Linked DNA regions of Tribolium castaneum. The main gene of each other region encodes a partner of the protein of the gene in region 2 in a complex. Links are inferred from orthologs where the notes say so. Each region holds a gene or a part of one and is shown on either strand. Other genes may lie near its edges.

Evidence for each region.
Region 1: eIF3c (region 2) and eIF3h share a complex: the UniProt entries of both Drosophila melanogaster proteins name them as parts of the eukaryotic translation initiation factor 3 (eIF-3) complex. The link is inferred for Tribolium castaneum from reciprocal best matches to the Drosophila melanogaster genes eIF3c and eIF3h.

The regions. Positions count from the first base shown.
Region 1 is NC_087398.1:6,460,737-6,464,270, forward strand, and holds eIF3h (eukaryotic translation initiation factor 3 subunit H), read right to left. Parts: upstream 2,027-3,534; 5' UTR 1,877-2,026; coding exon 1,799-1,876; intron 1,703-1,798; coding exon 764-1,702; 3' UTR 721-763; downstream 1-720. Other genes in the region: SelT (thioredoxin reductase-like selenoprotein T homolog CG3887), read left to right, coding at 2,170-2,324, 2,371-2,500, 2,547-2,870; vkg (collagen alpha-2(IV) chain), read right to left, coding at 3,464-3,534. UniProt on the Drosophila melanogaster protein: Component of the eukaryotic translation initiation factor 3 (eIF-3) complex, which is involved in protein synthesis of a specialized repertoire of mRNAs and, together with other initiation factors, stimulates binding of mRNA and methionyl-tRNAi to the 40S ribosome.
Region 2 is NC_087401.1:16,334,085-16,338,662, reverse strand, and holds the start of eIF3c (eukaryotic translation initiation factor 3 subunit C), read left to right. Parts: upstream 1-1,578; 5' UTR 1,579-1,710; intron 1,711-1,957; exon of another isoform or gene 1,958-1,960; 5' UTR 1,961-1,965; coding exon 1,966-2,055; intron 2,056-2,105; coding exon 2,106-2,870; intron 2,871-4,578. Other genes in the region: beag (protein Red), read left to right, coding at 489-1,228. UniProt on the Drosophila melanogaster protein: Component of the eukaryotic translation initiation factor 3 (eIF-3) complex, which is involved in protein synthesis of a specialized repertoire of mRNAs and, together with other initiation factors, stimulates binding of mRNA and methionyl-tRNAi to the 40S ribosome.

The DNA.
Region 1 (3,534 bases), on a different chromosome or scaffold from region 2:
CTTTTATTGTTGGTCCACACTGTATATGTATTTGTACCAAAAGGTTTTCTCGGTACGTGTGTATAGAAATGTAAAACCGTGGATTTGTCCATGTGCCATTTTAAAATTCTGTAAATACGATAAATGGGACGACGCCAGTGGTGAATGTTACCTAGAGTCTAGTCGTAGTGTTAAGCTATTTTATCAATGTAAAATGGGGAATTTTTTCAAATGAATTAATCAACATTTTTATACTCATGACACGATTTTTCTTATTGATTGAACTGCTAATAGCGTAATACGAAACGATTTATTGTGATTGATTATCTAGTCTTGTTTTGTTGTTGTTTTTCGTGTGTTGTTTGTTATTGGTTTGTATGAGTTTGAGAAAGTTGCACAAAAAAGTGTGTACATTTTGGCCAGTTTGTGCAATAGAAATGTAAATAAATAAAATTCATTTCTTTAGGTTCGTAAGACTGTAATGACTAAATTGATGTTTAGGGCAATTGAATACATTATTTTTTAAAAGCTGTGTCCTTTATTTCAATCAAAAAACAACAAAATCAACATAAACGATGAAAAGGTTGCGAATATGACTTTCTCCACTGTTGGTTTAGTACCATTTTTTAAGGGGATGATTAAACGTTCAAACGTAGAAATTTCACAGAAGAGACGCCACCACAAAACCTACTGACTGCGCCAATTAAGCTTTATTACGCCTGGTTTAAATAAAACCCAAACTCATTGTATATTATTTTATTGTAAAACAACGTAACAAAACAGTTCAAGGATTAGAATTCGCCTCCTTGGCGTTCTGCAACGCTTGCGTAATATACAACTTAGCCAAACTCTGCGAGCACAACTGGGAAATGGCCTGACTATACGTATTAATCTGTCCCGCGATAATCATCGGGTTCAGCCTCGGGGGCACCGGATGTGGCCTAAACAGCTTATTAATGTCCTCTTCGGGCAATGGGGGCTCGTCTTTCGCGGCCCTAGCCGCATTTTCCTGCGCCCTCTTTTGCAAATATCTGTGTTTGTCTTGCTGTTGCCGGCTGACCAACTGTTGGTATCTATTAAACTTGATCGCTTCTTGGTTGAGTTCGTCAACTCGGTCCATGAGGCAGCGCAATTGCCCCTCGAGGACGGAGGCGGTTCCCAAATCTAAAAATTTCGAGCCTTCTTCTTCCGGGACAAGTTCTTGCAATTCGGACATCATGATGTTGGTCAAGGCGGAGTTTTTAATAACGAAGGGGACCTCGATGAAGAGGTTCTCGTATCCGACTTTGAGCTTCAAGAGGGCCTCGGGCGTGAATTCGCCCTCCTTGTACATCTCAATGGCTTGAGGCGTCAAACGGTAGGCTTTAAGTGTGAGGAACCCGCGCGAGGATTTTTGAGTGTCGTAAATCACAACGACGGATTCCTCGATTGAGGTTTGGTAGTGGAATTGCGATTCGAGAAGAGGGAGGCTGAGGAAGTTCCCGACGTCGGCGCTTTGGTACCACCCCACATGGAAGTGGTCGACGTTGACGCGTCGCAGGCGCCGCATCATCGCTAGCTGGTACTCGTCCTCGTCCATTGTCTCGTCGGTTTGTTTCGGGAATGGGAAACAATTCGTGATTTCCAGCCGGTTTTCAACGACAAGGCCGAGAAGGGCCCCCTGGGCTATGTCCATGTTAGTGGTCGATTCCTCATGGCAGTGTTTTACGATCTTCATGACGGCCTGAAAGAGGTTAGGTTCCGTATGTTAGGTATTAATTACTAACTGAGGTAGCCAAAGTGTGACTTTTGGGTTTAAATAAACTGAAGGGATATTTACCAAGCCGTCGGCTTGCACGTAAGCAATCGTCGAGTCATTTTCAGGCACACGCCTCGAAGCAGCCCCACGAGACGCCATTTTAAACTGCCAAAAATACCTGCCAATGTAGCGCAAACAAAAACTCCACAATTGCTACAAAAACACAATTTTCGTAAAAATTGCCAGCCGATAATGGCCTTATTTAACGATTACGTTGTTTGTTACCAAATTTTGTAGCAGCTAACACAATCTCGTGTTTTTTGGACGTGAAATAATTATTATATTAGTGTTTTAGGCTGATCTAGTCGGTGTCTAAATTCCCCTACGTTTCCACCAGTCCCACCTGTCATTGGAAATTTATCAGCTGACGAGAGCATTAGAAAGCAAAATAAATGGCTGGTTTAAGACAAATATCATGTTTTTGGTATTTAGTGGTGTTTGCGGGGCTGTGTTTTCTCGAATCAAACGGTAACGTAGCAGCTGAAGACGTCCTCCCGTCGAAGCTAAGTCAAAATGTTGGGGCCCCAACCTTAAAATTTTTGTATTGGTATGTTCCCCTAGCCCCAATATCATAATCTAATTATTTAATTTAGTTATTCGTGTGGTTACCGGAAAACGTTCGAGCAGTACGTAAAAATCGTTGGGGACAAATACCCTTTTATAGCCGTTGATGGCCAAAATTACGACCCCCCAGGCTTGAACATGTATTTGGCCAGACTTATTGTAAGTATGATATAATGAGTGAAAGTTGATGATTATGCGTTTTCAGGGCATCGTTAAAATGGTGATAATCGTGTGTATTTTGGGGGCTATTAACATATTTGAATACATTAACCAACCACAGCCTTCATGGTGGATTTGGTGCACAGAAAACAAGCTTTATGCTTGCATGATGCTGTTCTTTGTGTGTAATATTATCGAAGGACAGTTGATTCAATCGGGGGCTTTTGAAATCTCACTGAATGACGTTCCTGTTTGGTCCAAACTGGAGACGGGCAGGATACCACAACCTGCAGAGCTTTTCCAAATCATCGATAATCATATGCAGTTCACTGACAGCAAAATTGAACTGAGCAACGGATTCCCGAAGTAAAGTTACTATAAATTTCGAAAATGATTGTTTTGTTATCAGATTGTTCTTTTTTAAATTTGTTGTGAGTCTGGTAGTGTCATTCTATAATTTTTTGTCTGGTCACTATCACACAGCGTTCAGTATGTTTGAATGTATGATTTATAAATAACTAGATTTGTGATAAGTAAAAGTTGTACATAAAGAAATTGTCTTCTTATTTGATACCTAATAAAACCCAAAAACTCATCGTTTTTATGATTTATTCATTTGTTACATTACAAAATCATTTGGCAGTGTTTAATAGAAAGGCACATAAAATATGAATCACATTTTCCTGTCGTAAGCCTTAAAACTAATTAGCACCTTTGAGATAAAAAAGATCAAAAACAAGCAAGAATTCAAGTATTAAAAAAATAAATTCTATACAAAGAGCCACTGTCGTAATCGCTTAAATAAAATTAAGAACCTAAATCCTTACAAGTAAAAAATATTCTAATAGGATTTGTGTTTGAACACGGCGTACGTTCCTTCTCAAGGACAAATGTTAACATCAAATCTATGTTACAATTAATTTACACATAATTACAAAGTTAATAACTGTTATGGCACGTCGATCACGGCGTATTTTGCGGTCTCCTGTGTCTCAATCTCTGCCTCAAACGCCTCCTCCTATTCTCTTCCAAGT
Region 2 (4,578 bases):
TTTTATAATATTTCTTATTTATTTTTTAGCATTGTTTTTGTACTTACCTTTAGATTTTTTTAAAAGATTTTTGTGATTCTTTCCTAAAGAGGTCTTTAGATTTTAAATCAGCAAAATTTTCCTTTAGATTCTCTTCTCTCGCTTATAAAAATTCTTGTCTAGTTTCTTTTAGAATTCTTCTTGTTCATTTTTTAGCATTGTTTTTTTACTGTCTTTTAGATTTTTTTAAAGATTTTTATGATTATCTCCTAAAGACTTCTTTAGATCTTAAATCCGCAATTTTTTTTATATTCTCCTCTCTCGCTTATAAAAATTCTTCTCTAGTTTCTTTTAGAATTGCTCTTATTTATTTTCTAGCATTGTTTCTGTACTTCTTTTTGGATTTTTTAAAGGTTTTTGTGATTCTTTTTTAAAAATTTTTACATGAATTTTAATGTTAAAATTCCTATTAATTTAATACCAACATGACTATTAAAATTTTATTTCAGACGATGAGGCTGAATCAGACATTCCAACAACTTTAATCCGTTCAATCGCCGACGTTCCGTCATTTGAACTCACCACAACCCTCACAACCAACGACATTGTCATAAATAAATTAACCCAAATTTTAAGTTACTTGCGCCAAGGCAACCGAAAGAACAAAAAAACCAAACGGGGACTCCCCGAAAGTCGCGAAAACGAACAACCGGAAGAACCCGAACCGAAAAAAACAACAAAACGTACAACCGGTGATGACTCCATCTATGGAGATATTGGTGATTACGTACCCACAAGAAGTGGTAAACATGGAAACTCGTCACGTGACCATAACAAACACACGTACTTTGATAAACAAGAGGAAGCGCTTGAAAATAGCGGACCGACTTTCAAAGTCAGTAAATCGGCACAAATCCTTAATAAACTGGCTCAAGAGCCTGAGGGATATGCTGAGTGTTATCCCGGATTGGAGGAAATGAACGATGCGATTGATGATTCTGATGATGAGGTTGATTATTCTAAGATGGACTTGGGGAATAAAAAGGGGCCGATTGGACGCTGGGACTTTGACACAGCTGAGGAGTATTCCGATTATATGAACCAGAAGGAGGCTTTGCCGAAAGCAGCCTTCCAGTACGGCCTTAAAATGGCAGATGGGCGCAGGTCCAGGAAGCATAAGGATAAGAACGAAAAGGCGCATTTGGACAGGGAGTGGCAAAAAATCCAAAGCATTATCAAGAAGAAATAATTTTGTTGTGTATTTAGGAGATAAATAAGTTAATTTAAATAAAAAATATATATTGGAAATTTGATTTTCTACAACTTTGTTCCTTACTTTTTTGTCTTACTATCGAGAGTTTAATGCTCTATGTGCCTGTATTTTTTCTTTGCTATCTGCTAATGGAACAAGTGCGCTCTCTGGTGACAATAAAGGAACTACCGAAAACGCGAGCGTTTCATTTGTACGTCTTTGGTATCTTAACCGTAGAATCCTTACTTTTGACACAACTTGAACCTAAATACCACCACCTAACCCTGGCTCTCGACTTAAGGGCCCTTTCGTGCCCAAAAACAAATTAATTTGCCCTTTTTTTACGATATTACCATAACACTACCAATCACAAGACAAAAAAGTCCCGATTTTGACAGTTGGCACAAGTTTTTGGCCATTTTGTGGTTACAATCGTGTCGGAAAATCTGTTAAGTGAAAAAAAGGCTTTAAACACGTAAGTTTTGCCTCTTTCACGTGTATTTTACCTTAAAATTGTGGTTCCGACATTTCTAACTATAATTTTGGGGAGTTCCGTCTCCAAACATGAACCACATGGGCCCCAGTAACTAGCTTTAAAGTAGTCTTAAATTAAGTTTTCGGTCTTCATTTGGCCCAAAGAAGCGAAAAACCGTTACCTAACGCCAATTTAACGCCTAGTTATTGCGTTATTTCACGTAATTTTTTTGAGGTTATGTCACTTTGTAGGTAAAAAAATGAGTCGTTTTTTCGCCGGTTCGGACTCAGACTCCGACAGCTCCTCCGAGGAAGAGCCAATTCAGCGCGCGCCAGCGCCCGTTTTCACCGTAAGTGAGCCCCCATGTAGCTTAACATTTTTTTAATGGCCCCCTTCTAGTTTAGCGACGATGAAGAGGAGGTCAAACGTGTGGTTCGCTCCGCCAAAGAGAAGCGTTACGAGGAACTCACTAACATTATCAAACAAATCCGCAATTACAAAAAAATCAAAGACATGAGCAGCATGTTGACCAGTTTTGAAGACCTTCAGAAGGCCTACGTTAAAGCGCTCCCAGTGATCGCGAAAGAAGAATCGGGGCAAACGCCCCGTTTCTTCACCCGTTGTTTGGTCGAAATGGAAGATTTCATCAACGAAATGTGGGAAGATCGCGACGGACGCAAAAACATGAGCAAAAACAACAGCAAGTCTTTGGCTTCAATGCGCCAGAAGTTGCGCAAGTACATCAAAGATTTCGAGGAGGATATTGCCAAGTTTAGGGAAAACCCCGACCAGCCGGACGATGAAGAAGAGGAAGAGAAACACGAGCCTGAGCCAGACACTCAAACTGAAGCGCCGGCCAAAGCTGTGGCTAAAATTTCCAAACAGATTGTTGATGATGAAGGGTCGTCTGATTCGGACGATTGGCCTAGTGATAGTGACTCGAGTTCGGATAGTTTTGATGAAGATGAAGGGAAAGGGACTATGAGGGAGCGGTTTTTGAAGAAAACTGGGCCGGCGCATGAAGATGATGAAGAACGCGATCGGAGGAAGGAGGAAAGGAGGAAGGAACGTAAGGAGAAGGAGAGGCGGAAGGTGAAGAAGGAGGATGAGGAGGATGGGGAAGGGGAGTGGGAGTTTGTGAAGGGGGGAATCGCAATTCCGAGCGTAAGTATCAGTACTTTAAATGTTTTTCTATTAAAAAAAATGAGGAATGACCTCTTTTCTTTTGTTATTCGGCTGTCTTGATTAGATAACACAGTACAATGAACTTTTTTTTTATAAAAAAGCTTAATAAGACCTTCTTCTATGACATATTAAAAATTTGGAAAGATATTATTTATGATTTTCTTGTTAGAGTCTGTCAAAAATAAACATTCTTGAAAAAATCAATAAAACAAAGTAAAAAATTCCGCTGTCTTGATTGGATAACACAGAGCAATGAACTTCTTTTTTATAAAACAGCTTCAGAAGACCTTCCTCTATAACATATTAAAAATCTGGAAAGATATTATTTTTGGTTTTCTTGTTAGAGTCTGTCGAAAATAAACATTCTTGAAAAAATCAAATAAAACACAAAGTTAAAAATCCCGCTGTCTTGATTGGATAACATAAAGCAATGAACTTCTTTTTTATAAAACAACTTCAGAAGACCTTTTTCTATAACATATTAAAAATCTGGAAAGATATTATGAACAATGAACTTCTTTTTTATAAAACTTTTTTATAAAACAGTTTCAGAAAACCTTCTTTTATAACATATTAAAAATTTGGAAAGATATTATTTTTAGTTTTCTTGTGAGAGTCTTCCAAAAATAACCATTCTTGAAAAATTCAAATAAAACACAAAGTTAAAAATCCCGCTGTCTTGATTGGATAACATAAAGCAATGAACTTCTTTTTTATAAAACAACTTCAGAAGACCTTCTTCTATAACATATTAAAAATATGGAAAGATATTATTTTTGGTTTTCTTGTGAGAGTCTTCCAAAAATAACCATTCTTGAAAAATTCAAATAAAACACCAAGTTAAAAATTCCGCTGTCTTGATTGGATAACATAGAGCAATGAACATCTTTTTTATTAAACAACTTCAGAAGACCTTTTTCTATAACATATTAAAAATCTGGAAAGATATTATTTTTGGTTTTCTTGTTAGAGTCTGCCAAAAATAACCATTCTTGAAAAATTCTAATAAAACACAAAGTTAAAAATTCCGCTGTGTTGATTGGATAACATAGAGCAGTGAACTTCTTTTTTATAAAACAGCTTCAGAAGACCTTCTTCTATAACATATAAAAAATTTGGAAAGATATTATTTTTGGTTTTCTTGTTAGAGTCTGTCAAAAATAACCATTCTTGAAAAATTCAAATAAAACACCAAGTTAAAAATTCCGCTGTCTTGATTGGATAACATCGAGCAATGAACTTCTTTTTTATAAAACAGCTTCAGAAGATCTTCCTCTATAACATATTAAATATTTGGAAAGATATTATTTTTGGTTTTCTTGTGAGAGTCTGTCAAAAATAACCATTCTTGAAAAATTCAAATAAAACTCAAAGTTAAAAATTCCGCTGTCTTGATTGGATAACATCGAGCAATGAACTTCTTTTTTGTAAAACAGCTTCAGAAGACCTTCTTCTCTAACATATTAAAAATTTGAAAAGATATTATTTTTGGTTTTCTTGTTAGAGTCTGTCAAAAATAACCATTCTTGAAAAATTCAAATAAAACACCAAGTTAAAAATTCCGCTGTCTTGATTGGATAACACAGAACAATGAACTTCTTTTTTATAAAACAGCTTCAGAAGACCTTCCTCTATAACATATTAAATATTTGGAAAGATATTATTTTTGGTTTTCTTGTGAGAGTCT